Macaca fascicularis: one gene and its partners. The protein of the gene in region 1 interacts with the protein of each later gene in a pairwise test. Links are inferred from orthologs where the notes say so. Each region holds a gene or a part of one and is shown in the gene's direction. Other genes may lie near its edges. The genes, in order: UTP14C, PDE4DIPP2, PRICKLE1 and TEX11.

The links.
Region 2: the proteins of UTP14C (region 1) and PDE4DIPP2 interact in a two-hybrid assay, tested with the Homo sapiens proteins (2 studies listed by BioGRID and IntAct). The two-hybrid records come from large-scale screens. The link is inferred for Macaca fascicularis from reciprocal best matches to the Homo sapiens genes UTP14C and PDE4DIP.
Region 3: the proteins of UTP14C (region 1) and PRICKLE1 interact in a two-hybrid assay, tested with the Homo sapiens proteins (2 studies listed by BioGRID and IntAct). The two-hybrid records come from large-scale screens. The link is inferred for Macaca fascicularis from reciprocal best matches to the Homo sapiens genes UTP14C and PRICKLE1.
Region 4: the proteins of UTP14C (region 1) and TEX11 interact in binary tests that used the Homo sapiens proteins (3 or more experiments, as listed by UniProt). The two-hybrid records come from large-scale screens. The link is inferred for Macaca fascicularis from reciprocal best matches to the Homo sapiens genes UTP14C and TEX11.

Annotation. Positions count from the first base shown.
Region 1 is NC_088391.1:31,196,516-31,204,424, forward strand, and holds the start of UTP14C (U3 small nucleolar RNA-associated protein 14 homolog C), read left to right. Parts: upstream 1-3,477; 5' UTR 3,478-3,694; coding exon 3,695-6,007; 3' UTR 6,008-7,909. Other genes in the region: ALG11 (GDP-Man:Man(3)GlcNAc(2)-PP-Dol alpha-1,2-mannosyltransferase), read left to right, coding at 3,206-3,477. UniProt on the Homo sapiens protein: Essential for spermatogenesis. May be required specifically for ribosome biogenesis and hence protein synthesis during male meiosis.
Region 2 is NC_088375.1:114,057,001-114,065,006, reverse strand, and holds the start of PDE4DIPP2 (myomegalin), read left to right. Parts: upstream 1-3,449; 5' UTR 3,450-3,834; coding exon 3,835-4,959; intron 4,960-8,006. UniProt on the Homo sapiens protein: Functions as an anchor sequestering components of the cAMP-dependent pathway to Golgi and/or centrosomes.
Region 3 is NC_088385.1:49,045,701-49,053,114, reverse strand, and holds part of PRICKLE1 (prickle-like protein 1), read left to right. Parts: coding exon 1-94; intron 95-2,123; coding exon 2,124-2,237; intron 2,238-2,740; exon of another isoform or gene 2,741-2,796; intron 2,797-2,905; coding exon 2,906-3,043; intron 3,044-3,666; coding exon 3,667-3,870; intron 3,871-6,093; coding exon 6,094-6,280; intron 6,281-7,206; coding exon 7,207-7,414. UniProt on the Homo sapiens protein: Involved in the planar cell polarity pathway that controls convergent extension during gastrulation and neural tube closure.
Region 4 is NC_088395.1:77,570,080-77,577,961, reverse strand, and holds the start of TEX11 (testis-expressed protein 11), read left to right. Parts: upstream 1-2,788; 5' UTR 2,789-2,893; coding exon 2,894-2,917; intron 2,918-6,869; exon of another isoform or gene 6,870-7,239; intron 7,240-7,882. UniProt on the Homo sapiens protein: Regulator of crossing-over during meiosis. Involved in initiation and/or maintenance of chromosome synapsis and formation of crossovers.

The DNA of each region.
Region 1 (7,909 bases):
AGACTAAGTAGTTAACAATAGCAGCTAGTATTTATTGACCAATTCCTGTGTGCAGGCCACTGTGTTGAGATTTTTACGTGTATTATCTAATTTAAGCCCCTCTAAACCCCTATTTGATAGGTGTTATTGTTATTCCTATTTTATAAATAAGGAAACTCAGGCACAGGAAGGTTTAGAAATTGCTCAAGTTCAGTTACACAGTAAGTAAATGGTAGAGCCCGGATTCTAACCCAGATAGTCCCTGCTCTTAACAGCAACATTTTCTCTCCCCATCTAACCCCACTACGTACTTACTGGTATAGATTCCTGGGCCTACCCTAGTCCTACAGAATGGCCAAATGAGAATCTCTGGACAAAGCCCAGGTAGATGTATTTTGATAATGCTGCTTAAGTGATTCTGTTATGCATCAAAAGTTGAGAACCGCTGTTTGCATAGGGACTTCTCACAGTAACTCTTTTAGTCTTTTATTGATTCTACCCTCACCATGGACTGGCCCTCCTCTTTGTGCCAGATCGCATCATAAGTCTTCAACTTAAATCTCCTTGCCTTTTAGCCTCTCTTGTTTATTCTGGCACAAACTACTATCTCCATTCTGACCTGTTAAGCATACATTTTGCTGTAAAACCAAGTACTACTTTGTGTTTAATTTGGGTCCACGTATATTTCTCAAGCGCTTTGTGCCTCACACTGTTAGTTGTTAGAGGAAATGAGGATAACATAAAAGTGACACTTTCTAAACTAAGACTACAATTTCTCTTATACTTTTTTCACTCCTAGTTAGTAGTATAGTACTAGACCCAGGTTGACCCAACCTTTTGCCTGGGATCTGACCTACTCTGCTTCCTTGCATAGAAACTTACTAAACATTCAGTCTGCTGAGCACTTGGGTGGATGCTAGAGATGTGGTGGAGACGGGAGCTGCTTGGCCTGTCAGAGGCTTCCTGCCCTCTGGTGGAACCAACAGGCTACACAGGCAAGTGCTGTGTGCCAGGTGCTATGCTAAGGAAGTGCAGGGTGATGTGAAAGTGCCAAAGAGAAACCTAACACAGACTTGTGCGGGCAGAGAACGGTTGCCCAAGGAAGTGATGTGACACTTGAGCAGAACCCGAACAATAATTAGAGGTTAGCCAGGAGAGACGGGAGAGTCTCCAGCAGAGGGAACAGCACTATGACAGGAGTGACAACAGATGCATCAATAGGAACATTAAGCAGGAAGACAACAGAGAGGTGATATGGGCCAGGTTAAGCCAGTGGAAAAGAACAGCAGGATTTTAAGTATTGTATGCAAAAGCTTTCTGATTTCTGCAGTCCATTCTGGCCACATGGGGAGTGGATCAGTGAAGAGCCGGGAGAGCAAGATTGGAAAGGCAGTAAGATGCGAGCCGGCCTACTGTAGCAGCCCAGGTGGAGGTACTAGTGAGCTGAACTTGGTAGGTGAACATGCTTGAGAGACATTCTGCAGTGTATTGACCAGGACTTGGTGATTAACTGGATGTGTTAAATGAGGGAGGAAGAGAAGACCACCTAGGGTTTTGGGAGCTGGGCAACTCTGAGAATGGTGTTGGCTTTCTCCCAGAGGGGAAATCCAAGAGCAGATACCATTGATGAGCCAAGTTTTGAACCTGCAGAGTCTGAGTTAATCTGTGGGACATGTGAGGGCATGCGTCCAGGAGGTAGTTTTGTATATAGGAGTCTGAAGTTGAGGAGAGGAATCTGGTCTGGAAATACAAAATGCGGATTGTCCTTGTGCAGGTAGTTATCAAAGCTCCCATGGATGTGGATAAGATCGCCTGGGGAATATGTACAGAGTGAGAAGAGGCTCTCAGTACAAAATGCAGAGAACAGAAACAGCTGAGAAATGGGGAGAAGAAGGGGGAGAGCCAGCCAAGTGCAGTGTCTTAGAAACCAAGGAAGAGAGTGTTTGGAGAAGAATGAAGAGGGCACAGATTCCGATGCTGCCCTGATGCTGGGGAAGGTAAGGCAGTCACTGGTGACCTGGGCAAGAGCAATCTTAAGGGAGAAGTAGAAGCAAAAGTCAGACTATGAGCAAAAATCAAAAGTTGAGCACTCAGAAGTGAACAAGTAGAGTTGGTAAGTGCAAACCACACTTTCAGTAAGTTTGTGAAGTACGGAGCGGGAAGAAGAGACAATGGCTAGGGGTGGGTATTGCAGGACCTGAGGAGAGGCATGTGGCACCCTAGCTTCAATGCTGATAGGAAGGAGCCAGTAGAGAGGGAAAGGGTAAAACTGATTAGATGAAGGTCTCTGAGAAAGTACAGGATGCTCTCCAACCTCAAGCAGAATACGATATGAGCTACTGAATTCTATTCTGCAGGGATTTCACCACTGGTTTAGAAACATTTGGAATTATTTAATTTCTCTCCTATACATCCAGGATGATACCAGCTCTGTACCATCCTTCAGATAATTGGGAAAGCAGTCACTTAAATCATTCTCTGAAGGGCTTAATTCTCCTAGGAATACAGCTAAGAAAGGCTGGCTACATTAATTTATATTTCATGTGTATCATTTGGCAGAAACTAACCACAACTTTCATTTAGTTCAGCACTGTTGTTGGGCACGCAGTAGTCTCAAATATGCCAGAAATCCAGGCAGTAACATAAGCACTGCAATAGTATGCTTCACTTAGGTGATTCGCATTTTTTATTTTTTCTGCTAATGTAATTTGAACTATTAAAATTGTTTTTGATATCTTTTTACTCCTTTTGTTTTTCTAATACCTGTTAATATTCTACCATCTTGCTAACATTCTCTAGTCTTTTTTAATTATCTGCAATATATCTTTTTTAATAGGTTAGTCTTCCATCTACTTGTCTATTTTAACTAAGAATAAAGCAGCAGGCTGGGTGTGGTAGCTCACGCTGGTAAATCCCAGCACTTTGGGAGGCCAAGATGGGAGGACCACTTGAGGCTAGGAGTTAGAGGCCAGCCTGGGCAACATAGTGAGACCCTCTCTCTCCAAAAAAAAAAAAAATTGTATTATTATGAAGCTATGAAAACTAAAAAACTTAAAATTATTTTATTTTGTACTATAGAAGTTAAATAAGCAAATGTCTAGACATATAGACATTTAATTAAGTTTCTCATAAGTCCCTTAAAATTTTTGAAGATTTCTGTTCATCCTCATTCTTATGAACACACTCAAAAACTTAAAATACTACATGATTTTTGTTTTTTTCTCAGGAGTTGTGGAGTGTATGGCAGCTGGCACAATTATCCTTGCACACAATTCAGGGGGCCCAAAGCTTGACATTGTCGTTCCTCACGAAGGAGATATAACTGGCTTTCTGGCTGAGAGTGAAGAAGACTATGCTGAAACTATCGCTCACATTCTTTCCATGTCTGCAGAAAAGAGACTCCAAATCAGAAAAAGTGCTCGTGCATCTGTAAGCAGATTCTCTGATCAGGAATTTGAAGTGACATTCCTATCATCTGTGGAAAAGTTATTTAAGTAATGCCATATCTGGAAAATTAAAGATATTTTATATAAACTGGTTAAACACCTTCATATGTAAATATTTTTCTAAATTCAATCTCATTTGTCAAATCATTTTACTTTAGAAAACAGACAAGAAAATTTCCTTTTAGAATAAAAGGAAGTGTTGAAAAGAAAATGGATGACTAGCCTTCAGCTTCCATTCTTGGTACACATGAGAGAAGCTGGCTGCTGAGATGAATGTGAACCGGGTTGTGGAGAGCCTTCTGGCTTTGAGCCAACAGGAAGAATTAATGGATTTGCCAAAAAACTGCCCCTTGAGTGAGAATGAAGATGAGGGGGACAGTGATGGAGAGAGAAAGCATCAAAAGCTTCTGGAAGCAATCAGTTCCCTTGATGGAAAGAATAGGCGGAAATTGGCTGAGAGGTCTGAGGCTAGTCTGAAAGTGTCAGAGTTCAATGTCAGTTCTGAAGGATCAGGAGAAAAGCTGGTCCTTGCAGATCTCCTTGAGCCTGTTAAAACTACTTCTTCTTTGGCCACTGTGAAAAAGCAACTGAATAGAGTCAAATCAAAGAAGGTGGTGGAGTTACCTCTTAACAAAGAAAAGATTGAACAGATCCACAGAGAAGCAGCATTCGGTAAAACCTCACAAGTCCTCTCTAAATGGGACCCTATCGTCCTGAAGAACCAGCAGGCAGAGCAGCTGGCTTTTCCCCTGGGGAAGGAGCAGCCAGCCATTGCTCCCATTGAACATGCACTCAGTGGCTGGAAGGCAGGAACTCCCCTGGAGCAGGAAATTTTTAACCTCCTCCATAAGAACAAGCAGCCAGTAACAGACCCTTTACTGACTCCCATGGAAAAGGCCTCTCTCCAAGCCATGAGTCTGGAAGAGGCAAAGATGCACCGAGCAGAGCTTCAAAGGGCTCGGGCTCTGCAGTCCTACTATGAGGCCAAGGCTCGAAGAGAGAAGAAAATCAAAAGTAAAAAGTATCACAAAGTCGTGAAGAAAGGAAAGGCCAGGAAAGCCTCAAAAGAGTTGGAGCAGCTGCAGAAGGTTAATCCAACTGTGGCATTGGAAGAACTGGAAAAATTTGAAAATGCCAGAATGATGGAAAGAATGAGCCTTAAGCACCAAAACAGTGGGAAATGGGCCAAGTCAAAGGCAATTATGGCAAAATATGACCTGGAGGCTCGCCAAGCTATGCAGGAACAGTTGGCCAAGAACAAAGAACTGACACAGAAACTCCAGGTAGCCTCTGAGATTGAGGAAGAGGAGGGAGGCACAGAAGAAGTGGAAGAACTCCTTGTCCCCCATGTAGTGAATGAAGTCCAGATGAATGTGGACGGACCAAATCCCTGGATGCTCAGAAGCTGCACCAGTGACACCAGAGAGGCTGCAACCCAGGAGGACCCTGAGCAACTGCCAGAGCCTGCCACCCATGAGGTTTCTGAAAGTGAGGGAGAAAGACCAGTGGCAGAGGAAGAAATTTTGTTGAGAGACTTTGAGGAGAGGCGATCCCTTAGAAAAAGATCTGAGCTCAACCAGGATGCTGAGCCAGCAGGCATTCAAGAAACAAAAGATTCTAGCAGCCAGGAGGTGCTGTCTGAATTGAGGGCACTATCTCAGAAATTGAAGGAAAACCATCAGTCCAGGAAGCAAAAAGCAAGTTCAGAGGGGACTGTTCCCCAGGTCCAGAGAGAGGAACCTGCCCCAGAAGAAGAGGCGCCCCTGTTGCTACAGAGGCCAGAGAGAGTACAAACTGTGGAAGAGCTAGAAGAGCTGGGAAAAGAAGATTGTTTTCAAAATAAGGAGCTTCCCAGACCTGTGTTAGAAGGGCAGCAGTCAGAGAGGACCCCAAATAATCGGCCTGATGCCCCTAAGGAGAAGAAAGAGAAGGAGCAACTGATCGACGTACAGAACCTCCTAACTACACAGTCTCCTTCCGTGAGGTCTTTGGCAGTTCCCACAACAATAGAGGAGCTGGAAGATGAAGAGGAGAGAGACCAAAGGCAGATGATAAAGGAAGCTTTTGCTGGGGATGATGTCATCAGAAATTTCTTGAAAGAGAAGAGAGAAGCTGTGGAGGCGAGTACGCCAAAGGACGTGGACCTGACACTACCTGGCTGGGGCGAGTGGGGTGGTGTGGGCCTAAAGCCTAGTACCAAGAAAAGACGCCAGTTTCTCAAAGCCCCTGAGGGTCCTCCAAGAAAAGATAAGAATTTGCCAAATGTGATTATCAGTGAGAAGCGCAACATCCACGCAGCAGCTCATCAGGTACAAGTGCTTCCATATCCATTTACCCACCATCGGCAATTTGAAAGGACCATCCAGACCCCTGTAGGATCCACATGGAACACCCAGAGGGCTTTCCAAAAGCTGACTACTCCCAAGGTCATCACCAAGCCAGGTCATATCATTAAGCCCATAAAAGCAGAGGATGTGGGCTACCGGTCTTCCTCAAGGTCAGACCTGTCTGTCATACAGTGGAATCCAAAACAAATCACCACACGTCACAGTAAAGAGTTGAAGAAAAACTCTGTAGGTTGAGTAGCTGGAAAAGTGACAGCTAGGAGTTCTGATTCCACTTCCTTTGGTCCAGTTTTACTCTGCTACAGGGTGGATTCCAGAACTGGCTCAGCACATTGCATGTAGTTGAGCCACATTTTTAAAAAAAGAAAATGGATGACCATTAATTGACTAGCATTTTAGAATTGATCAGACATTAGAACACAGAAAAATGCTGGTACATTTACATTCTAAACAATACAGTGGATGACCCTTTTGAATATACCTAATGATTTCCTTTAAAAAGAAATTTTAAACAGACTTGTGTAATCATGTTCTCAAAGCATACAGTCAAGAGGTGGGACTGACTGATGCTTTATAGGTGTGTGTAGGGCAGTAGAGGCCAAGGTGCTGCCAACAGTCCTTTCCATACTAGGTACTGGTGAAAATTGTTTTTGTTTAGTGCTATCAGCACATTTGTGTGGGTCTCATTATCGCTTGACAGTACCGCATCTCAGCCTGGAAGTCAGGTTTAAGTCATTCAAGAGAACCTCAAGTTGTTTTTCTGACAGTGATGATGTGGTATACAGATACATCCACAGGGTATTTATTATCTATTACCAGCATAATGCATTGTCAGATGGCAAGGTGGCATTTTGAAAAGAGCACTGGGCAAGCAGTTAGCATATCTGGGCCTACCTTCAGCTTCATCATTTACAAACTTCTGACCTTTTGACACTAAAACTGCTCCTTTATCTTTCTGAGTCTCAGATTCTTCATCTGTAATCTGGAGTTGTTAATTCCAGTCCTTACTACCTTTTGGAGTTGGAATAATGAGATGGAAAGTGGATGAAAGTACTTTGAAAATTATGACAGTTAAGGGCCGGGAGCAGTGGCTCACGCCTGTAATCCCAACACCTTGGGAGGCCAAGGCAGGTAGATCATGAGGTCAGCAGTTAGAGACCAGCCTGAACAACATGGTGAAACCCTGTATGTACTAAAAATACAAAAAAAATAGCTGGATCTGGTGGCGGGTGCCTGTAATCCCAGCTACTTGAGAGGCTGAGGCAAGAGAATCACTTGAAACCAGGAGGCAGAGGTTGCAGTAAGCCAAGATTGTGCCACTGCACTCTAGCCTGGGCAATAAGCAAAACTCTGTCTCAAAAAAAAAAAAAAAAAAAAAATTATGACAGTTACTTAAAGGGAGCATTACATACTAAATGTCTTCTATAATCCAATCTTTATTAATGCATTACAACTCTATGTAGATTCTTAGTTACTCGGCCAGTAGCTAGGAATTGGTATAAATTTAATGCACCTTCTATCCTGAATAACTAGCATGGAAAATTGAATATATGTGTGAGCAGATACGGCTGTAAAAACCTATAGCTTTTGCATTTTCTGCTTATATAATCCTTTCTAGTTCAGTGAATTGACCCCATCCATAGCCTGATTCATCTTTGTGTTAAGGGGCAAATGAAAGGGTACATTATTCCTTTGCACTCTTCTCTCAGTCACTTATCAATGTGGCCAGCTTATCTACTCCCAGTTATGTTATTCATACGTCTCCAGGCCATCTGTCATCAGATCAAAAAGCAAACAGAGGACCAGTCACAGGATGTTCTGACACACCATTGTAACTTTGTGTTAGAGATGATTCCATTTAGAAAAAGACGGGTAGAAATTGGAGTGAAAGGAACCCTACGGATTAGCCCAGTTCTCTCTTATTTTCAGCTTTACAGACCAGAACAATTTAAATCTAAAGAATTTAGTAGACTCCTTCAGTGCCACAAAGCTGTTCCATGAAAGAATCAAGATTATAACCTGGATATTCTGACTCCTGGCCCAGTGCTTTTTCTTACTTTGTAGCTACACTTTGAAGTAAGATTCAAACTGTTACCCACTTAACTGCCTTATTCCTGAGGAGGTAGTGAAGGAAGAAAA
Region 2 (8,006 bases), on another chromosome or scaffold:
GAAGAAAGAAAATAAATATCCATAATTCCACTCTCTAGACATAACCATTACTAATAACTTGTGGATCCCCTTTGAACTTTTGTTATTATATAAGTTATCTTCTTACATTATATATCATCATATTTAGTATAAAAATTCTTATTTTAGGTTCAAGTTTTACCACTTAGACCCTATATTAGTGTGTTAAATTGGCAGCCCTTATTTTAACTATAAAATATTTTCTAAATTAAATAAAATCTAAAATACCTGAATAAACATTCATTGTCCAAAATTCAAATGATACACAGTATATAGAATAAAAAGTAAATGTCCTTGCATAGCCCCACCACAGGTAACCAGTTCAACTGCAAACTCTTGACCACAAGATAATAATGATAAGGACCAAGAAGTGCAAAATTTATTATCACATAATTTTCCTAAGTTTTATTTTTAAATTTTTATTTTCTATATACCAGTGATCTTTTCGTTGGGAACACCTTATTTCATAATACCAAATGCTCATATAGGGACTAATTCTAGTACAACAGCTTATATCGACTTTGAGATACATTTTTGAACTATTTTCTCTGCAAGTGAACAGACTGCCATCTTCACATTTTCTGATTGCTGAGTGGTTTATTCCCATCTGTTTTTGGAAGTCTAGATATGTATAGTTTTCTCAGTATATTGATCTTTACTTATAGCAAACATATTCTTCAATGGCAATTTGCCTTTTCACCATTTGTATTGACCTGTATGACTACACCAAGCTATCTATATACTGTCATTAAAATTTGGAGACTATCAGTTAGATGCAAAATCCTTTTGAAGAACAGAGAATAACCCAAAGTATAATTCAGGGTTTGCTCTTGAAGAGCACTTTGTTTCATTCACATTTTCCTAATAGGAAAATGTGGCTTGCATTGACAGTAAAAAACAAGATCTGGATTACACTTAAGACTGGGTACGGCAAGGTAGTGTCCTGGCAGGCAGTCTGTCTTTCCATCAGTCAGGGTAAGTCCAGAAACTCTTTGCCTTTCTATAGATCACCATAGATTCCAAAGCACGTTGCTTAATTTCTTCCAACTTTGAAGCTCACATACCTAGAGGCAGGCAAAATGCAGCTGTAGTTTTACTGGAAACCCTTTTATATTCTTGGTTTTTGAGTCAGAATACACTCAGTAGATGAAATTACATATGCAAAATTCTACAGCCTATGATATTAGGCCATTCTTGCATTGCTATAAATACTTGAGACCAGGTAATGTATCAAGAAAAGAGGTTTAATTGGCTCACAGTTCTGCCGGCTTTATAGGAAGCATGGTGCTGGTATCTGCTTGGCTTCTGGGGAGGCTTGAGGAAGGTTACAATCATGGTGGAAGGTGAACCTGCAGCAAACAAGTCACGTGGCCAGAGCAGGAGCAAGATGGGGTGGTGGAGGCACCACACACTTTTAAATGACCAGATCTCAGAAAAACTCACTCACTATTGCAAGGGTAGCACAAACCCATAAGGGATCTGCCCCCCTGACCCAAACACCTCCCACCAGGCCCCACCTCCAACACTGGGGATTACAATTCAACATGAGATTTGGTGGGGCCATATATTCAAATCATATCGCCTACTAAGCCCAAAGCTCTAAGTACTGTCTTTCTCTCTTACAATAGAGCTACAAGATTTTGCTTTGGTGATTAAGAGAACAATACAATCTTATGTAGGCAGAGCCCCATAATGTTTTAAAGTGACTTAAAATATTCCAATTCATATTAAAATAATAATAGCCATTATTTAATGAGCTAAACATGGTTAAAGCATTTCCTCAAAATTATCTCATTTGGTCTTCAATATGAAGTTTGGGGGGCTTATTATGAACTCTCATAGATGGCATTTGGATGTCTTCAGGTTTAGGAGGATGGGCTCTGTCCTGGGGACGAGGTTCAGAAAAACTTAGACGTTGCTGGCCTTAGCTTACAAGGTCAAGTTAGTAAAAAAAAAAAAAAAAAAAAAAAAAAATTTAACATGATTAGAACTGAGAAATGGCCTGCTCTAGGGGACTGCAAGTGATTGCTGCGGTTGTTCCTCTTGTTCCGTGTCTGAATGCCTCTCAAGTCAGGAAGAGAATTCTTTATTAAAAATGGCCGGAGGGCGCGGTGGCTTAAGCCTGTAATCCCAGCACTTTGGGAGGCCCAGGCGGGCGGATCAGGAGCTCAGAAGATCAAGACCATCCTAGCTAACACGGTGAAACCCCGTCTCTACTAAAAAAATATGAAAAATTAGCCGGGCGTGGTGGCGGGCGCCTGTAGTCCCAGCTGCTCGGGAGGCTGAGGCAGGAGAATGGCGTGAGCCCGGGAGGCGAAGGTTGCAGTGAGCCGAGATCGCGCCACTGCACTCAAAAAAAAAAATGGCCGGAGGTACCTGCATCCCACCTAGTCAGGGCTCTAGCTTCCCTCCTCTTTGTGTGCAATCCAAGTTTTAGACCCAAGGGTGGAGGACCTACCACTGTACAGTGCTGAGTAAGACAGGGTTCTCACCGAAGTCAGCGAAGTTCCCAGTCCTTTCTGGCGCGAGCTGCATTCCCAGACACTCCAGCTCTTGCCGAAAGGAGCTCCGTCTTTTGCGCTAGTGTTTGTCTACCCTCCCCTGCCCTAAAATAATGAATGCCCTCTACCTGAGGGAGAGACTTCAGTGGCGGTAATCTACTCGCGGCTGGCTGCATCCTTGAAAAAGCACATTTCCCTTCTACTATCTTCAAGATCTTGGTTAACCAGATTCACATTGTATTTGCAGGACGCTTTCTCAGGTGACTGCTCAGTGCTCTTTTTTACCGAAAGTAGGGCAAAGTCCCCCAAGGGTGCTAACCCTCCCCCACCCACATCAAGGAAGAAACAGTCCTCTACTCTTTTCTGGACATTCCGGTTCAGAGTCGAGGTAAGGGTTGCATGGCCCCGCCCCACCCGCCCCTCCGTTACCAAGCCTTCCCCCGCCCGCCTCGCAGTCTCAGGGCCTTAGAACCCAGGCGGGGCGAGGCCGGGAGAGGTGGGGCTGCTGGCTGGAGGCGGCGGCGGCGCGCAGCGGTACCTAGCGGCGCTGCCCGGCTGGCAGCCGGAGGACGTGGCACTGTCCGAGGATCCAGGGGGAGGGGATTCGGCCTTCTCCTCCCCGCGAGGAGGAGCCTCGGGACATCCTGCAGAGGCGGGAGGATCCTTGAGGGCACTGGTGCGCCTTTCAGGTGAGCTCTTAGCAGATAAAAGCGGCTGGCTGTGGTCCGCGCCAGTAGTGCTTTCTGCTCTGCACTCCCAGTGAGCCAGGTGCGCAACCGGAGTGGGGGCGAGGGGCGTGCTGGCCACCCCGCATGCGCAGAGCCGGGAGCCCGCTGACCGGACTACAGCTCCCAGAGGAGCCTTGTGGAAGCCGCAGACGTGGAGCCGCTGGCGCCATCTTGAAATCTGATCCTCAATCCCCGAGCCTTTGAGTCTGCGCGGCGGGCCGCTGCTGCTCCGGGAGCCCAGTCTGTTAAAAGGGTAGGACGTTGAGGACGCGGCGGCTGGCGGGAGAGACAGCTGGGGAGAGACATGGCAGGGTCGGAGCGCGGCCTGCGCCTCTGTCACTCAGCATCCTCTTAGACGTTTCCACGCCCGCCCCCTGCCCAAGGGGCGGGGCTGACGGCTGTGGTACCCGGAGCCGGCGCACGGGGTAGGGGTGCACCCCTGCAGAGTGAGGACCCCACTGGGCTGTGCCATGCTGACTGGAGACCACTGAGGCGGGAGACAGAGCGCGGCGAAGAGCCATTGAGTGGTCATCCAGTAGCCGCCGCCGCCGCCGCCTCAGGAAGCTTGGCACCCGCTAGGAGGGAAGATGAAGGAGATTTGCAGGATCTGTGCCCGAGAGCTGTGTGGAAACCAGCGGCGCTGGATCTTCCACACAGCGTCCAAGCTGAACCTCCAGGTTCTGCTTTCGCACGTCCTGGGCAAGGATGTCCCCCGCGATGGCAAAGCCGAGTTCGCTTGCAGCAAGTGTGCTTTCATGCTTGATCGAATCTATCGATTCGACACGGTTATTGCCCGGATCGAAGCTCTTTCTATTGAGCGCTTGCAAAAGCTGCTACTGGAGAAAGATCGCCTCAAGTTCTGCATTGCCAGTATGTATCGGAAGAATAACGATGACTCTGGCCCGGAGGTCAAGGCGGGGAATGGGACGGTTGACATGTCTGTCTTACCTGATGCGAGATACTCTGCACTGCTCCAGGAGGACTTCGCCTATTCAGGGTTTGAGTGCTGGGTGGAGAATGAGGATCAGATCCAGGAGCCACACAGTTGCCATGGTTCGGAAGGCCCTGGAAACCGACCCAGGAGATGCCGTGGTTGTGCAGCTTTGCGGGTTGCTGATTCTGACTATGAAGCCATTTGTAAGGTACCTCGAAAGGTGGCCAGAAGTATCTCCTGTGGCCCTTCTAGCAGGTGGTCGACCAGCATTTGCACTGAAGAACCAGCGTTGTCTGAGGTTGGGCCACCCGACTTAGCAAGCACAAAGGTACCCCCAGATGGAGAAAGCATGGAGGAAGAGACGCCGGGTTCCTCTGTGGAATCTTTGGATGCAAGCGTCCACGCTAGCCCTCCACAACAGAAAGATGAGGAGACTGAGAGAAGTGCAAAGGAACTTGGAAAGTGTGACTGTTGTTCAGATGATCAGGCTCCGCCGCATGGGTGTAATCACAAGCTGGAGTTAGCTCTTAGCATGATTAAAGGTCTTGATTATAAGCCCATCCAGAGCCCCCGAGGGAGCAGGCTTCCGATTCCAGTGAAATCCAGCCCACCTGGAGCCAAGCCTGGCCATAGCATGACAGATGGAGTTAGTTCCGGGTTCCTTAACAGGTCTTTGAAACCCCTTTACAAGACACCTGTGAGTTACCCCTTGGAGCTTTCAGACCTGCAGGAGCTGTGGGATGATCTCTGTGAAGATTATTTGCCGCTCCGGGTCCAGGTATACAAAACGGCTACACAGTGCCTTTCTGATTATAGCTAGCTGGCCTCTGGCTTCACATGATTTCGGTCTAGGTGGAGGTTAGTAATATTCTAGACTTGAGAAAATTAGTCATGAGCCCATTTTTGCTGCACCTTTTCTGTGTCTCATTTAGTAAACGTGATTCGTACTCAGATAATTTGCTTTTCACAGTCTTTGTAAAATCTGTTGGCCTTCCCATTATCAAAATTGTATACCTTTTAAAACAAAAAGGTAAAGATTCCCACTTCACTTTTATCCTGTAAAAAGAAGACATTTAATCTCATTTCTGGCACTAGAACTTTTCCTCTTATCTCCTTTTCTTTCTTTTTTTTTTTTTTTTTTTTTTAACAACTTTTAAAATTTGTTCTTGTTTTCAGATTTATAGACGTTTCCTCCCAATGGCTTTCTGTAAGGCAGTTAGTTCTCTAGTTAGTTCTTCCCAGAGCATTGAAGCTTTCATCCGCAAAATGCCTGTAAATGATTAGAGCATAAGGTAAAAGGTTTGGGGGAAACCTATTAATCCACCAGTAAAGTATTATAACATCTGGACAATATTTATTATAATGAATAGTTCATTTGAGGATTAGTGATGACTCATTCATAAAAGAGACAGGAATTCAAGTATTCAAGTACAGTATTGTCACTCAAAACGTTAAGGCATAAACTGTTCACAGCCAGAACTCTGCTGAGTTCTACTGGAAGATATTTGATATTAAGAAAGGATTAACCCATTATTGGATCAGAGGAGAGTTTCATTCATTATAGTCTTGAATTCTTAATGACTAGAGGATGGCAGTTGCTTAATTTGAACCATTCATGTCTGCCCAATTGATTCTATACCAACCTTTTAAATTCAGCTATGGTAGTTTGTTTCTATAGCAACAGTAAATGCTAGGTTCAGTTAACTTTGTGAAACATACTGGCATGTTCCACTTGATACAACTTATTTAGCGATACTGTCACAAAGGTAGATGTGATCTAGAAGGCATTTTTAGAAAGCCTGCTACTGGTCAACATCATTCCAGAAATTTAGAGCTTGATAAGTAACATTGTTGATGGTCACATGAAACTTTTGGAAAGTAGTTCTGTGGTATGTATACTTTCTTTCACCATAAGAACCTAAGCAGAAAACAGGAGAAAAGTTTTTAAATTTACACAAAATTATGAGTAGCAGCATAGATGAGAAACAGCAGAGATGAAAGTGTCATGAAAGGTAAAAAGTCAGTGCGTTTTCATTTGTATAAAATGTATGTACTTCTTTTCTTTTGCTTTTCCTTTCAGTGGAGCCTCAGCTGAATTTGGGCTTTACAGTATTTCTGGACCAGACATAGGTGTTACAAATTAAACATGGTGTTTTCTTATTAGGGTCTAAAATTAGTTGGGCCAGGATGAATGGGAAATAAACTCGTCTCCCCAACCCGCCACCAAGTATGGCCAATATTGTAGAACATTACATAAAGACTGAGAAAATAACAGCCAAAACAAGGTCTTTTTTCTCCATATTTAAATAAAATACTCTATTTTGGTGACCGGATTTTGGAGTTGAGAAGAATTTTAAAGATCATCTTCAGGCAGTCCCTCAATTTGGAGATATGGAAAGAAAGTTCATTCTTTAACTAACTTAGCCCATGCAGAGACAAAGGTTTCTGACCATTCTCAGGCAAGACACTAATTCTATACATTAAACCCCATTGTCTGAAGTATATAAATTTAAGTAAGTACTTTTTTAAAACCAGGAGCCCTCTTTCTCTAACCTAAGGATGCTTGGGGGATTTTTTAGAGATTACGTGAAAAAAATTGTCATCTGAATGAACATATATAAACTATGGTAACTGTATCTTTAGGTCAAGTCCCTTTACTTCACTAAATTTGGACATTAGAGCTTTAAAATAGTAGCATATGACCTTTCTGCTGTGACCTAACTTACATTCTTACATTGTTTACTGTTTCTAGAAAAACAAAAATTGGGAGGGAGAAAATGTCATTCAGTTTCAAGAAATGTGGCATTTAATTATTATACCATTTTCTCTAATAATTTGAGATGTCAGGGAAAATAGATGAATTGGGCCCAACCTGTTTGTAAATAAAATGGGCAGCATATCTATTGTTTAAATCCGGTTACTTTTAAGCTCCTTAAGAGCCTTATGACAAAACCAGTGCTAGATAGGACAATGGCAGACTGGTTTTTGTCTATTTCTCTGAACAAATGTGGAAAGAATAGAAACAATGTAATTTTTTTTTTTGGTAGTTCTCCTTTTAGCTTGTGAAAACACGAAACCATGAAAGAAAAAAATGTTTCCTTTAGTTCAGTTCTGCCACAAATATGGAGAAAACCTTTTATCTTAAACAGCAAGATTTTCTGTAAGGTCATTTGGATTCCTTTGTTTAATCTTCCACTTACCATACTGTATGCACTATTAAATATTGACATCAGAATTCCTCCTGATTGCTTTTCATCTTTCTTTTTTTCTTTCCTTCTTTCCCTCTTTTTCTTTGTTCCTTTCTTATTTATTAAAGAAAACTAACAGTGTAGTTCTGCTTACTGATATTCTGATATTACACAAAGTAATTTATTTCCCTTCTACAGAATTTATGTATGACAACCTAAAGCTATTCAGATAGCTAAAGAAAGGTTTGAAGCCTTATTCTAGCTGGTAATTCCCTTCTTTATTGTCTGGCCCTGAACTAGAAAAGCTATGATGGGAGGGGTGTGGTCCCTTAGTAAACAGCAATGAGCTCTGGCCCATGTGCAATTTCCCTTTCTATCTAAAGTCAAAGAACAGGAGATCTTTGCTTTAAACCTTGCAATGCCAAGGTCTGCTCCTTTGTGACTATGGTAAATTTATCGCACTCATATTTTAGTTATAGGAAGTGGATCAGGCCCTTTGGAAGATGTTGGCATTAGATGCTGGTAAAAGATTAGGCCTTTAATTTGATGGTAGTCGATGATTCTTGTCTGTCTCCTAGTATTAACAATAGGATTGACAATTATAGCAGTTTGAGATCTATAACTCACTACTGTGAGG
Region 3 (7,414 bases), on another chromosome or scaffold:
CTTTGGCTGTCAGAGAAGTTCCACATCAGATGATGACTCTGGCTGTGCGTTGGAGGAGTATGCCTGGGTTCCCCCGGGCCTGAGACCAGAGCAGGTAGGAACTTCATCATCCTATATTTACTCTTTGTTTTTCAGTGTGAGTTCAGACTTCAGAACATTATTTTGCAAATGGATAGAACATCACTGAGATGCTGGAATACCACCCTCCTCAGTCCTTATTCTTCTTTGTATGGCTTTGAAGTTTTACTTTTGAAGGTCATATTTAGTTTCTCAATGGAAGTTTCCAGTCTCGTCGTACCTCATGGTTCCAGAAGCCTCATAAGGATCCCATTTTTGCTCTAATGAATGAAATCCGGAGTACTACATATGCATTGGTTATATGTATTTCGGATGAATCCCTCTTGAGAGTGAGAGGAATTTACCTTTTGAAAAACTTCTGTGACAACAAAAAGGCAATAAAAGAGAAAAGTTTCCATGCCAGTTCTCAGCAATGCTTTTGCTTTGGAAGCGAGATGGCAAGCTATCAGAAACCCTCTGAAGTGTTACTGCTTAGACATTTGACCTTTGATAACTTTGCATATAAAAGAGCCTGTCACTTACACCAGAGATTGGGAAAAAAAAATTAGAGAGTTAATTTTATGCTTTGTTTGTGTTGTTATTTTAAGGAAGATGAGAACATTCTATATGCCTATTTAATTTTCCCAATATCTTTACAATGATTAACTTGTTGAAAATCACGTGATATTATTAAAAGAGCAAAGGCATCATTTGAAAATAAAGTTGACAGTGGGGTGTGTGGTTGCTTTGCTCTGAGTTAGGGTTCTGTTTCCTGTAGGGGGGGACATTTTTTGAGAATAGGGTATCCTTATTTATCCATGGCATAGCACAGTACCTGGCACGCATGTAGCTGATATTCAGTAAGTGTTTATAACTGTAAAAAGCTTCTAGAGCTGATAGAATGGGGAGAGGGTGGAGTACTGGTGAAGCAGTTAGAAAAGCAGTATTTGGACAAACTACTTAGAGAGAATCCCTTCTTACATCTAGGGTGGGTAGGTTTTGTGTGGTACTAAGGTATTGAAGTAGACAGGCCCTAAATTCCTGTCTCATGTCTTTTTTTTTTTTCATTTATTCCTTCTCAGCTCTGCAGTATCCTTTGCAGTACTCATTAAGGGATGTTCCTTTAAAGATATCAGAACACAAACAGGCAGAAATTAAGTTTTCCTTTCAGAATGAGCAAAGTACAGCTCAATATGGCTTCTCTCCAATTTCCCTAGGGAGACTGACTTCAGGTATTCAGAAAATAGCATACATGGAAGCAAAGAAAGCTGATGTTTGAGAGCACCTGATAAAGAAGAGTTTACAACATTTAGCTAAACAGCTTTTGTCTTTGTGATGTGTAAACTTCAGAGAGCAAATTCAGTGTGTTTGTGTACTGGGTGGATTTGGGGCCATGTCACATAGTCTGTGTGGTAATTTGCACAATTCACCCAGAACTCTCTCTCTTGCTGATCTCTTAGTTGACCCGTTGGAAGATTGGCTGAGGAAGAGTAGTCTTTTTTTTTTTTTTTTTTTTTTTGAGATGGAGTCTTCCTCTGTCCCCCAGGCTGGAGTGCAGTGGCGCGATCTCGGCTCACTGCCACCTCCGCCTCCTGGGTTCAAGCGATTCTCCCGCCTCAGCCTCCCGAGTAGCTAGGATTACAGGTGTGCACCACCACACCCAGCTAATTTTTGTAGTTTTAGTTAGAGACAGGGTTTCACCACGTTGGCCAGGCTGGTCTCAAACTCCTGACCTCAGGTGATCCACCTGCCTCGGCCTCCCGGAGTGCTGGGATGACAGGCGTGAGCCACAGCACCAGGAAAAGTAGTCTTAAATGTGCATATTTTATGGTGCATAATTTATGATGTCCCTAATTTTCACTACAAATTACATTCCTGAAGAGCAATTTAGCAGCTGGGTGCTAGTTATCTGAAGGTTTGCAGTTCTGCTGAGTTGGCTCAGCTGGTCTTCTCATTAGCTACAAGAGGCCAAACCCTGTACCTAGGGAAAGGTAACTTTTAAAGATTAAGTGAGCTGAAATGCTCAGTTCTGTATACTGATGCCATTCTCACTGTCTCTTATGCAGATCCAGCTCTATTTTGCTTGCTTACCAGAGGAAAAGGTTCCTTACGTTAACAGCCCTGGAGAGAAGCATCGGATTAAACAGCTTTTGTACCAGTTACCACCACATGATAATGAGGTAAAATAGCCGGAAGAAGGCTAATTAGAAAAAAGAAAAAAATGCATGAGAAGCATTGAGATGCTGCTCATAAACCCCATATCCTCACTGGTGAGTCAGGCTCTCTTTTGCCTTTCTTTAGTTAAAATTTGGCCAGAGAATACAGCTTTCCATTCTTTGAGAGAAGAGAGAAAAGAGTATCAGTGTAATCAACTTAACACAAGTTGGTTTTTATAGTGTTTGCAGCCACCCACCAATGATCAGGAACCTACAAATGCCGGAGATTTCCCTGCCCCTGCATCCAGAGTGAATGCTTTATGGTCATTCAGGCCTGCAGTTGAGTTGAGTGCATGTAGAATGGAGAGTAAAAGTGGCAGTTAACAAGTTTAAACCTTTTGTGGAAAGGTTAATGTCCTATTTTTTTTTTTTAATGTCTGTGCTGATAAGGGTTTTCAATTAAACATTTCTTATTTAAAAAAAAAAAAAAAAGACTATTCCTTCACGCTGCATTTCCCTTTTTCTAGAGAGGCTGTAAAATTTGGATATGGTGTCATTTTAAAATCGTGGAGGTGTGACACAGGCGAGCTAAACTTACTATTTTATTTCCTGAAACCCTAACTCTGGAAGTAGAGAACTGGTGAGAAAGACTGTGCACTCAGTGTGGTGTTTCTGTTTTGCTTTCTGTGAAGGTGCGGTATTGCCAGTCTTTGAGTGAAGAGGAGAAAAAAGAATTGCAGGTGTTCAGTGCTCAGCGGAAGAAAGAAGCACTGGGAAGAGGAACAATTAAGCTTCTGTCCAGAGCAGTCATGCATGCTGTGTGTGAGCAGGTGGGCAGCCCCTTCTCCGATGTGTAGCTTGTGGCAGTGATGCGGATGGGGTGGATAGTTAGGGGTTATCCACTAACTATCTAGCAGAGGTGTGGGCCCTGAAAGCCTCCAAAAAGTGAGAGGAAGACAGCCTGGCTTTTTATTAAATAGCAATTCATGTTTCATATTTGTAACTAGCTACACTGCTGTGTATGACAGCAGGAGTCAGTCACCCTTGTGCAAACATTGGGTGAAATCCTGCCTTTGGTAGGATCCTGGCATGGAGGTAGGTGCTAGGATACATCTCGTATTCAAAAGAGGCAGAAACATAATGAAGACATTCAGATCTTTGCTGGCAGTTCTCAGAGTAGGAAATGTATCCAGCAGGAGACTGGCACAGGAAAACCACTATTTGTGTGAATCACATTACACCGTCCTTAGAAACAGTCGTAGTATGTCTGAGACACATGCCTTACAGTGGAGAATCACCAGTAATCCAGCATTAAAGAGCTATTTAATCATTAACAGAGGTGGCAAAAATGAACACATTCCTGACAAATTCGAGATTTATCCTAAAGTAGGAAAGCCTGAGAATCCCGTCTTTAAAAAATGATCCTTTTACATTCAAACCCATTTGTTTGTAGTGTGGGTTGAAGATAAACGGAGGTGAAGTTGCAGTGTTCGCCTCCCGCGCGGGCCCTGGCGTGTGCTGGCACCCATCCTGTTTTGTCTGCTTCACGTGCAATGAGCTGCTGGTCGACCTCATCTATTTTTATCAGGATGGAAAAATTCACTGTGGCAGGCACCATGCAGAACTGCTCAAACCACGGTGCTCGGCATGTGACGAGGTAAAAAAAGTTCATCCTTTCACACTGGGAAAAATAAGCTTAGATTAAGCCAATATTCCACTGTTTACATCTAAGCAAAATATTAAAATTTCCTGGATTTTGTTCTGTGTGCATGTTTTAAAGATAATCCTGTACATTCATACAATGAAGTAATCTATATTTGGTTGGTGCAAAAGTAATTGCGGTTTTTTGCCATAATGGTCAAAACCGCAATTACTTTTGCACCTACCTAATAGAAAGGGAAGCAGATGTCTTTGTACTTTGATAAGCATTATATCTTCAGTGCGTTGTGAGAAAATACAAGTTGCAGAAGAACATGTAGTAGATGGTCTTTTTTTGTTAAGGATTTAAAAAACAGTATGATACATGTATTTGTTTATACTCAGAAAAGGTATGGAAAGACAAATACCAAATTAGTAGTAGTTACCTTGGGGGAAGGTGGGAATGGATGATGGCTTGAAAGGAAAAATTTTTTCCCTTTAGCTTTTTAAAATAATTTTAGATTTACAGAAGAATTGCAAAGCTATTACAGAGAGGTCCTGCATGCCCTTCTCCCAGCTTCCCCTGATGCTAACATCTTACATAACCATAATATATGTATCAAAACTAGGAAATTATCATCAGTATAATACCATTAACTAAACCATAGTCTTTGTTTAGATTTTCCTAGTTTTGTAACAAATGTTCCTTTTCTTATCCAAGATCAATCCAGGGTGCCTCATTGCATTTACTCGTTGTATCTTAGTCTCCTTCCATGTGTGACAATAAACTTTGTTTTTATTTGTATACATTCATTTATTTGATCCTTTTTTTCAACAGTGTTCTATTTGAACATATTTTGGTTTTGGTCTTGGTTTTGTTTTGTTTTTTAAATTTTTTTGAGATGGAGTTGCTCTCTGTTGCCCAGGCTGGAGTGCCGTGGTGCAGTCTCGGCTCATGGCAACCTCCACTTCCCGTGTTCAAGTGATTCTTGCACCTCAGCCTCCCGAGTAGCTGGGATTACAGGTGCCTGCTACCACGGCCAGCTAATTTTTTTTGTATTTTTAGCAGAGGCGGTCTTCACCATGTTGGCCAGGCTGGTCTCGAATTCCTGACCCGAAGAGATTCGACTGCCTCGGCCTCCCAAAATGCTGGGAATACCGGGGTGAGCCACCGTGCTCCACTGAACATATTTTGGACACCAAAAATAGAAGAACCTGCCGGGCTCGGTGGCTCATGCCTGTAATCCCAGCACTTTGGGAGGCCAAGGCGGGCGGATCATGAGATCAAGAGATAGAGACCATCCTGGCCAACATGGTGAAACCCATCTCTACTAAAAACGCAAAAATTAGCTGGGCATGGTGGCGGGTGCCTGTAGTCCCAGCTACTCAGGAAGCTGAGGCAGGAGAATTGCTTGAACCCAGGAGGCGGAGGTTGCAGTGAGCTGAGGTCATGCCACTGCACTCCAGTGTGGTGACAGAGCGAGACTCCATCTCAAAAAAATAAAAATAAATAAGTAAAAATAAAAGAATCAGCCTGGACCCCATGGTGAGACCCCATTTCTGTCCCAAAATGTTTTTCAAATTAGCTGGGCATGGTGGTTGTGCCCTCGTGGTCCCAGCTACTCAGGAGGCGGAGGTGGGAGAATCACTCAAGCCCAGGAGTCTGAGGCTGCAGTGAGCTATGATTGTGCCACTGTGCTCCAGCCTGGGCTACAAGTGAGACCCTGTCTCAAAAAAATAAAGAGTCCTTAATCTGGAGATGGCCACCAGGTCAAATAAAGCATTATCAACACAAATGCTGTTCACTCAATTCCAGCATCTGTGTAGCTATAACTGTGTTGAGTCCACAGACATTTTTATGACTTTTCTTTCTACTGAAACACCAAATTATTTCACTAAAGTATTTCCGTGTTAATGTGTTCTTTGCCAGATTATGCCAAGGAAATGTTATTGGGGAACAAAAATAAGACCCAGTGAATTACTTCTAATGTAGAATCTGTTTTGTCAGGTTGAAGCAAGTATTTATTATTTAGTTTCTTTTTTCAGTACTGTCAATTTATGCTCTAGTTTGTAGCTAAATCAAGTTAGATTTAAGCTTGTGACTCTAAGAAACAAGGTTAGCTATTTGATTTTTTTAAGAGCCAGTGTCTGTCCATTGCCCAAAAAACATGCAGTTACTTGGCCTTTAAAATAGTTCCTAATGATTTTCTTTCATTCTCTGGTTTCACGTTTCTTTTTGAAGATAATTTTTGCTGATGAGTGCACAGAAGCTGAGGGTCGCCATTGGCACATGAAGCACTTCTGCTGCCTTGAGTGTGAAACGGTCCTGGGAGGACAGAGGTATATCATGAAGGATGGCCGCCCCTTCTGCTGTGGCTGTTTTGAGTCTCTCTATGCGGAGTACTGTGAAACCTGTGGGGAACATATTGGTAAGTCCACAGCCAGCCCGTCTGCCCTGTCACCTAGCCATTAGTCTGTCTAGAATTATCCACAGTCTTATTTTTTCTTTTCTGTTTTTTAAAGTTGAGATATAATTTACATACAGTGAAATGTACAGATCTTAAATGTTCCAGCTGATGAAATTTGACAAATGAACAGAGAGTCGATTCTTGTTTTTCATAGTAGTCGTGTTCTGTGAAGTTACTGCGAACGCTGGATTAGTGAACACTGAACCGTTGCTCGTGGGGGAATACAGGGTTAGGTTCCTATGAGCCTCTGGGCACTGCCGTTTCATCAACCCATCAATGCATAATCTTGTTTCATGTGTGTTTTTGCTTAAAGCCACTGCTTTATTGAATGTACATTGTTGATGCATTAATATTGAATTCACAGCCAGTAGTACCATACTCAAGATTAGGAGCTTATGTAATACGTCTTTTCTCCATAAGGCACATCACAGCCTTCTTGCCCTTAGGAACATGACAGCATTTCAGCACTGTCAGCATTACACTTGGGGTCATTTTAAACAGCAAACTCACCAACAAAAAGCACAAAAACGCAGAAAACATGGCAGTAGATAGATCAGGAATGCGACACTTGTCTACAATATGAGAGCTGAAACAAAAGGCTGGAGCATCTCCTGGATCAGTGCGTGTTGGTTCAATTCATATTTTTACCACTTTGCACATCTGCGAATGACCATGAAAGGGTTGCCAATATTAGTTTGGGGGTTGTGAATAAATTTTTATGAGTAGGCAAATTCACAAATACAGAATCCACAAAGAATGGGGATTAATTGTATCTGTGTCACCCACACGGCTCCCCATACCCATAATCTTTATTTTCTTCATTTCTTCCTTATACCTTGTTTCAGGCATTAAATCATAACTTATTTATTCTGTCCTTTTCAAAACAGGTGTGGACCATGCGCAGATGACCTATGACGGGCAGCACTGGCACGCCACAGAAGCATGCTTTTCTTGTGCCCAGTGTAAAGCCTCTTTGTTGGGATGTCCCTTCCTTCCCAAACAGGGTCAGATTTACTGCTCAAAAACGTGCAGTCTCGGTGAAGACGTCCATGCCTCTGATTCTTCCGACTCTGCATTTCAGTCAGCTCGATCAAG
Region 4 (7,882 bases), on another chromosome or scaffold:
TCTCATAAACTAACCAGAAACTATTATTGGTATTCTACAATAATATCTTAGGATTTTTTTTTCTTTTTTTTTGAGAGACAAGGTCTTGCTCTGTCACCCAGTTGGAGTGCCGTGGCTTGATCATAGCTTAACTGCAGCTTCCACCTCCTGGGCTGGAGTGATCCTCTCACCTCAGCCATCGAGTAACTGGAACTACAGGTGTGAGCCACCATACCCAGCTAATTTTTAAGTTTTTTGTGGAGATGAAGTCTCACTATGTTCCCCAGGCTGGTCTCAAACTCCTGAGCTCAAGCAATCTACCTGCCTCAGCCTCCCAAACTGTTAGGATTACAGGCATGAGCCACCACGGCTGGCCAGGCTGTTTTTTTTTTAAAAAGGAACTCAAATTAAAAACGTATATTGGTGGCATGTGCTTGTAATCCCAGCTACTCAGGAGGCTGAGGCAGGAGAATTGCTTGAACCTGGGAGGCGGAGATTGCAGTGAGCCAAGATCGGCCACTGCACTCCAGCCTAGGTGACAGAGTGAGACTCTGACTTCAAAACAAAACAAACAAATGAAAGTTTATATTGGGGTTTTGTTTTCTTCTCAAAAATATTTTTTAAAATCTGTTTTTAAACAATATTTGTATTTTTAAAAACATCAATTTTAAAATCTCCCTGATTCTGCTATCAATATTTTGAGCAAGGTCTACATAAATATATGTCCCTCAGCCCAATACTTACCTAATCTTAGAGGAGTCAAGATATTAATAGCAGTCTTTCCATTAAACAACTTATGGGAGAAAGAAAGATAGAGGATTTTTTTCTTTTTTCTTTTCTTTTTTTGTTTTTTGTTTTTTTGTTTTTTTAGTTGGAGTCTTGTTCCGTTGCCCAGGCTGGAGTGCAGTGGTCAATCTCAGCTCACTGCAACCTCTGCCTCCTGGGTTCAAGCGATTCTCCTGTCTCACCTTCTAGAGTAGCTGGGACTGCAGGCACGCGCCACCATGCCTGGCTAATTTTTGTATTTTTTCTTTTCATATATATTTTTTCACCTAAAGTATTTAAAATATGTGGTATTTTAACATAATTGAACATAATTTGCTTTGTGAAGTCTTTATTTGAATCTATAGTCTTATGTTTAGCTAGAATTTTGATTTTTAATTTTTATTTTTATGAGTACATAGTAGGTGTATATATTTATGGGATACATGAGATATTTTGATACAGACATACAATGTGTAATAATCACATCAGGGTAAATAGGATATCCATCACCTCAAGCATTTGTTTAATTGAAATTTTTGTAGCTGATTTATTTTTTATTGTAGCAAGGTAAAAGTTCTGTTTATTTTAGCAGCTTAAAATCTTTTAGAAGGTGCTTTTATGGTACTGTTATGAATATTAATAACATTTTTGCTAATCTGAGGCTCAGGAATGTTGCAATAAATTAGAACTATGTAGCTTATGGACACTTATGTCACATGAGTTTGAAAAAATTTTTTTGATAATATGAAAGGCATCAATTGAGATTCTACATCATGCTTATTGTTTAGTTTTAGGGTTTTTTTTTTTTTTTTTTTTTTTTTTTTTGAGACACAGTCTTGCTCTGTTGTCCAGGCTGGAATTCAGTGGCACGATCTGAGCTAACTACAACCTCAACCTCCAGGCTCAAACAATTCTTATGCCTCAGCCACCCCAGTAGCTGGGATTACAGGCGAGCACATCACACCCAGCTAATTTTTGTATTTTTAATAGAGATGGGGTTTTGCCATGTTGACTAGGCTGGTCTCGAATTCCTGGTCTGAAGTGATCCGCCTGCCTCAGCCTCCCAACGTGCTGGGATTACAAGCATGAGCCACTGCGCCTGACCTAGTTTTAGTGTTTTTTTTTGTTTGTTTTTGTTTTTTGTTTTTTTTAAATGGTGTCTTGCTATGTTGCCCAGCCTGTTTCAAACTCCTGGGCTCAAGGGATCCTCCTGCCACAGCCACCTGAGTAGTTGGTACTACAGGCGTGGAACATTGTGCACAGCTAATGCTTGGGTTTTAAGGAATTCCATGGCCTAGTAAGATTCAGCTATGTGGAGTCTGGAGCTGAGACCATTTAGAAAATGGTGACATCATTTGTGCAGATTCAATAGCTGGTTAATGTTGTTGCTAATTGAGCATGTCATTTTTTTTTTTTCTCACAAAGTAAGGTCAAGACTTCAGAGCCAGCAGTTTGCTATGTCTGTCTAATGCTTGAAAATATTAATAAGTTTTTCAGTTTTACAGGGCACATATCCAGATCTTTCAGATTTTCTACATTTTCTAGTTTTGAAGACACTGTTAAGTTCAGTTTTGTAGGGTTTTTTTTGTTTGTTTTAGAGAAAGGGTCTCACTCTGTAGCCCTTGCTGGATGGAGTACAGTGGCAGGATCATAGCTCACCGTATTCTTGAACTCCTGGACTCAAGTGATCCTCCCAACTCAGCCTTTGGACTAGCTAGGACTAAAGATGTGTGCCACCATGCTTGGCCTGTTTTGTACTTTTAATATTACCTAATAACTTTACTATTAGTGAAGTCAATGCATTTTCCTTTCTGAGAATGAATAATGATTAAGTTATAAACAAGTGACTCCCAAAGAATGCAAATTTTATTTGAAAATTATACTCTTGCTTAAATAAACTTTAAATCTCCAGTTTGGTTTTACTCTAAGGATCAAGTTCCTTCATGCTATATTCATTTGGCCAATGATTTAGGAATAGGTTTAAAAATGATTTGCTACTTTTAGCCAATGGTAATAGTTCACAGCACATTTATCATCCATTGTTATTTCAGAAGTTGTTGAAAACCTGGTTGCAAGTGATAATTCACCTAACATACCAGAGGCAATTGATAGACTCTTCAGAGACATAGCAAATATCAACAGGGAGTCTATGGCTGAAATAACAGACGCTCAGGTTAGTATAAAAATAATTCTGTTTATGACAAGTTTTGATAATTCTTCATTTTAACCAATGTATTATATAGATAAAAAAGTAGTCTTAACCCTTGCTAAACATATAAAAATCTATTTTTGGATGTTCACACCTAATTTAGGGGAAAAAAATTTTAGAAACCAATGGAAAAATATGTGCTCAAGTTTAAACATTTATTATTTATTAGTAATGTTATATATTATTAATATTTATTAACCTCTCCAGGCTTCAGTTTTCTCATCTGTTAAATGATAATAGTAATACCCACCTCTAAGTGTTGTTGTGAATAGTAAACAAAATAACATACATAAGGTCCTGGGCACACACGAGTTCTCTTTTCCTTCCCTTTGCAGCAAAGTAGTGGAGCCACCCAGTAGTGGAGAACTCAGTTGACTATAAGCCTTCAGAAGTGCTTTTTTGGGGGGTAATTTTCTAATGTTTAAATGAAGGTCTGTTACTTACTTAATATGGAAATTGTCTTGAGGCTTGAAACACTTTTGAGAACATTTACCTTGGGCAAATACTTGCATTTTGGTGATTACTTATATGGAAAGGTGAGAAGAAAGTTTATTGTAAATCTCTCTTCCTCTTTATATATATATGTATCTATATATGTATGTATGTGTTTATGTATATATAAATACCTTTATTTAGATATAATTTACATACCATGCAATTCACCCATTTCAAGTATGCAATTCAATAGTTTTTAGTATTTCCCAGAGTTGTTGTGCACCTATCACCACGGTTAGTTAATTTTAGAATATTTTCACCACCTCAAAAAGAAACCACGCCCATTCACAAACACTCTCCATTTCCTCCCATCCCCTTCCCTCCCTCACCCTCAGCCCTAGGTAACCGCTAATCTACTTTTGGTCTCTATGGTTTTGCCTAATGAGGACATTTTATGTAAATAAAATCATACAATGTGTGGTTTACTGACTGCTTTCACTTAGCCCCATGTTTTCAAAGTTCATCCATGTTGTTGCATGTATTTGTACTTCATACATTTTTATGACTGAATAATATCCCATTGTATGGCTATACCATATTTTGTTTGTGCATTCATCTATTGATGAACGTTTTCATTGCTTCCACCTTTTGGCTATTATGAATAATCCTGCTATAAATACTCATGTACAGATTTTTATGTTTTTATTTTTCTTAGGTTTGTACCTAAGAATGAAATTGCTGGGCCATGTGATAACTCTAAACTTTTGATGAACTACCAGATTGTTTTCCAAAATGGCTGTACCATTTTACATTCCCACTAGCAGTATAAGAGGGATCCAGTTGGTGGTGACTCATGCCTGTAATCCCAGCACTTTGGGAGGCCAAGGCAGGCGGATCACGAGGCCAGGAGATCAAGACCATCCTGGCTAACACCGTGAAACCCCGTCTCTACTAAAAATACAAAAATTAGCTGGGTGTGGTGGCGGGTGCCTGTAGTTCCAGCTACTCGGGAGGTTGAGGCAGGAGAATGGTGTGAACCCGGGAGGTGGAGCTTGCAGTGAGCCGAGATCACACCACAGAACTCCAGCCTGGGCGAGAGAGCGAGACTCCGTCTCAAAAAAAAAAAAAAAAAAAAAGAGGGATAGAGGGATCCAGTTTTTCCACCTCCTTGCTGACATTTTTCATTATTTGTCTTTTTGGTTATAGTCATTTTAGTGGGTTTGAAGTGTTATCTTATCTCGTTGTGTTTTTTATTGTGGTAAAACACACATAACATACAATTTACTGTCTTAATCATTTTTAGGTGTATAGTTCCCTTGTGTTAAGTATGTTCACATTGTGCAGCCATTCTCCAGAACCCTTTTCATCTTGCAAAACTGAAACTCTGTACTCATTAAGCAACTCCCCCTTGCCCTCTAAAATTCTTTTTTTTTTTTTTTTTTTTTGAGACGGAGTCTTGCTCTGTCACCCAGGCTGGAGTGCAGTGGCCGGATCTCAGCTCACTGCAAGCTCCTCCTCTCGGGTTCACGCCATTCTCCTGCCTCAGCCTCCCAAGTAGCTGGGACTACAGGCACCCGCCACTTCGCCCGGCTAGTTTTTTGTATTTTTTAGTAGAGACGGGGTTTCACCGTGTTAGCCAGGATGGTCTCGATCTCCTGACCTCATGATCCGCCCGTCTCGGCCTCCCAAAGTGCTGGGATTACAGGCTTGAGCCACCGTGCCCGGCCTAAAATTCTTATGAATTTTGAGATCAGCTTGTCAACCACCATTCTACTTTCTGTCTCTATAAATTTGACTACTCTCAGTACCTCATGTAAGTGGAATCATATAATAATTGTCTTTTTGTGACTGGTTTATTTCTCTTAGTATAATGTCTTCCAGGTTCATCCGTGTTGCAGCATGTGTCAGAATTTTCTTCCTTTTTAAGACTGAATAATCCATTGTATGTGTATACCACATTTTGTTTATCCATTCATTTGTTGATGGACACTTGGGTTGCATCTACCTTTTGCCTATTGTGAATAATGTTGCTATGAGCATTGGTATGGAAATTTCTGATCAAGTCCCTGCATTCAATTCTTTTGGATATACACCCAGAATTGGAATTGCTGTATCATACGACAATTCTGTTTTTAATTTTTCGAGCAACCGCCATACTGTTTTCCATAGCAACTATAGCATTTTACATTTCTATTAATAGTGAACAAGGGTACCAGTTTCTTCACATTATCACCAATACTTCTTGTTCTGTTTTTTTATTGATAGTAGTCATCCTAGTACTGTGAGGTGGTATCTCAGTTTTTTATTTTATTTATTTATTTATTTTTTAGACTATCACATTCTGTTGCCCAGGCTGGAGTGCAGTGTCAGGGTTTCAGCTCACTGCAACCTCTGCCTCCTGGTTTGAAGCAGTACTTGTGCCTCAGCCGCCCAAGTAGCTGGGATTACAGGCAGGCGCCACCACACCTGGCTAATTTTTGTGTTTTTAGAAGAGATGTGGTTTTGCCATGTTGGCCAGGCTAGTCTCGAACTCCTGGCCTCAAGAGATCCACCCACCTCGGCCTCCCAAATTGCTGGGATTACAGGTGTGAGCCACTGTGCCCGGCTGTAAATCTCTTTTTAGATCATAACCTCTTACGGTACTTAGCTGTTAGTGAAAACAAATTATAAGATTCCAAGAGTTTGGGTTTGTTTGTTTGTTTGTATTTTGAAACAGTGTCTTGGTCTGGAGTGCAGTTGCATGATCTCGGCTCACTGCAGCCTCGACCTCCTGGGCTCAAGTGATCCCCCTCAGCCTTCCAAGTAGCTGGGACTGCAGGCGTGTGCCACCATGCCTAGCTAATTTTTTGTATTTTTCATAGAGATAGGGTTTCTCCATGTTGCACAGGCTAGTCTCGAACTCCTGAGCTCAAGCAGTCTGCCCTCTTCGGCCTCCCACTGTTAGAATTATAGGCATGAGCCATAAGAGTTTGGTCTTATTTTTCAAGAAGATCTGCTTGGTTTTGGAAATGCCTTGAATTTATTTTCTTTCTGGAAAGTCTAATCTTCATATTATTTACTTCTGTCTGCAGCATGTATTTACCATGCTTATCATTATACATTTATGTAAACCTACGACAAAACCTGCCACATCTTAGGTGCTTAATACACATGTGTTGAATAAATATGTTTTGTGATTATGAAGTATTTACAATCATAGTTTATCTTATCCTTTCTAACACAATATGAGAAAATACAAAAAATTGTTTAAAATCATAAAGTAACATAACTTTACAGAAAGTTTTAAAAAATGGATACAAAATCACATGCAAACACACACTTGAATATAACAACTATTATTTTAATGTATTTTCTTTAATAGTTTTACTGTTTAAATGTTACTTAGCTATAATTATACGGTACATGTAATATTTCTGACATCATAAAAGGCAATTTGCTCTGTGTTCCCAACATTTTATTTTATTTTATTTTATTTATTTAGTATTTTTTAAAACCAGAACATTTATTGCATAACTAATCGTTGACATTCTTAAGATGAACTAGATGCTGCAACAGCTGCCCTCTTGTGTTTAGGTGTTGTTCCTTCACAGAATCCATGCCTGAATCTGCGGTATACAATTTTTAGGTGCCTCATTCGACCAGTTCTGGTGGTATTTCGTCTTTTAGCCTTGGCACTCCAGTTATACTTTCTCTTGCACTTGGCAGGGTAGCCACATTTGCCACAAGTCGACTTCTGAAGGTGGTAGGCCTTAGAGCCACAGCGGCGGCACAATGTGTGCATCTTATTGCGACGCTTTCCAAACGATGACGTTCCCTTCGTCATCTCGCTTCTGCAGCCGAGACCAGAGAGCTCAACATTTTAAAATAAACATTTTCAAACAGAAAAGTTGAAAGAATATTACACTGGACACCTGCGTAACAGCCACTTACTTTTTACAGTTGTAAACATTTTACCATATTTGCTTTATCACATATACATTTGTCCATCAACCCATCTTATTTTTTGGGTGTATTTTAAAGTGAGTTGCTGACAACAGTACATTCCCCCCCCCCAAATGTTTTAGTGTGCATATCATTGACCAGAATACAATATTTTATTGAAGTTCTTCTTTTTTTTTTGAGACGGAGTCTCGCTCTGTTGCTCAGGCTGGAGTGCAAGTGGCATGATCTCAACTCACTGCAACCTCTGCCTCTCAGGTTTAAGAGATTCTCCTGCCTCAGCCTCCCGAGTAGCTGAGACTACAGGTGCACACCACCACGCCCGGCTATTTCTTTTGTATTTTTAGTAAAGACAGGGTTTTACCACGTGGGCCAGGCTGGTGTCAAACTCTTGACCTCAAGTGATCCACCTGCCTTGGCCTCCCAAAGTGCTGGGATTACAGGCGTGAGCCACCATGTCCAGGCATGACCACTATTTTAAGTGGATGAATACTATTCCATCAAGAAAGTTTATCATAATTCACCTATTTATTTCTTTGTTATTGGATATTTATA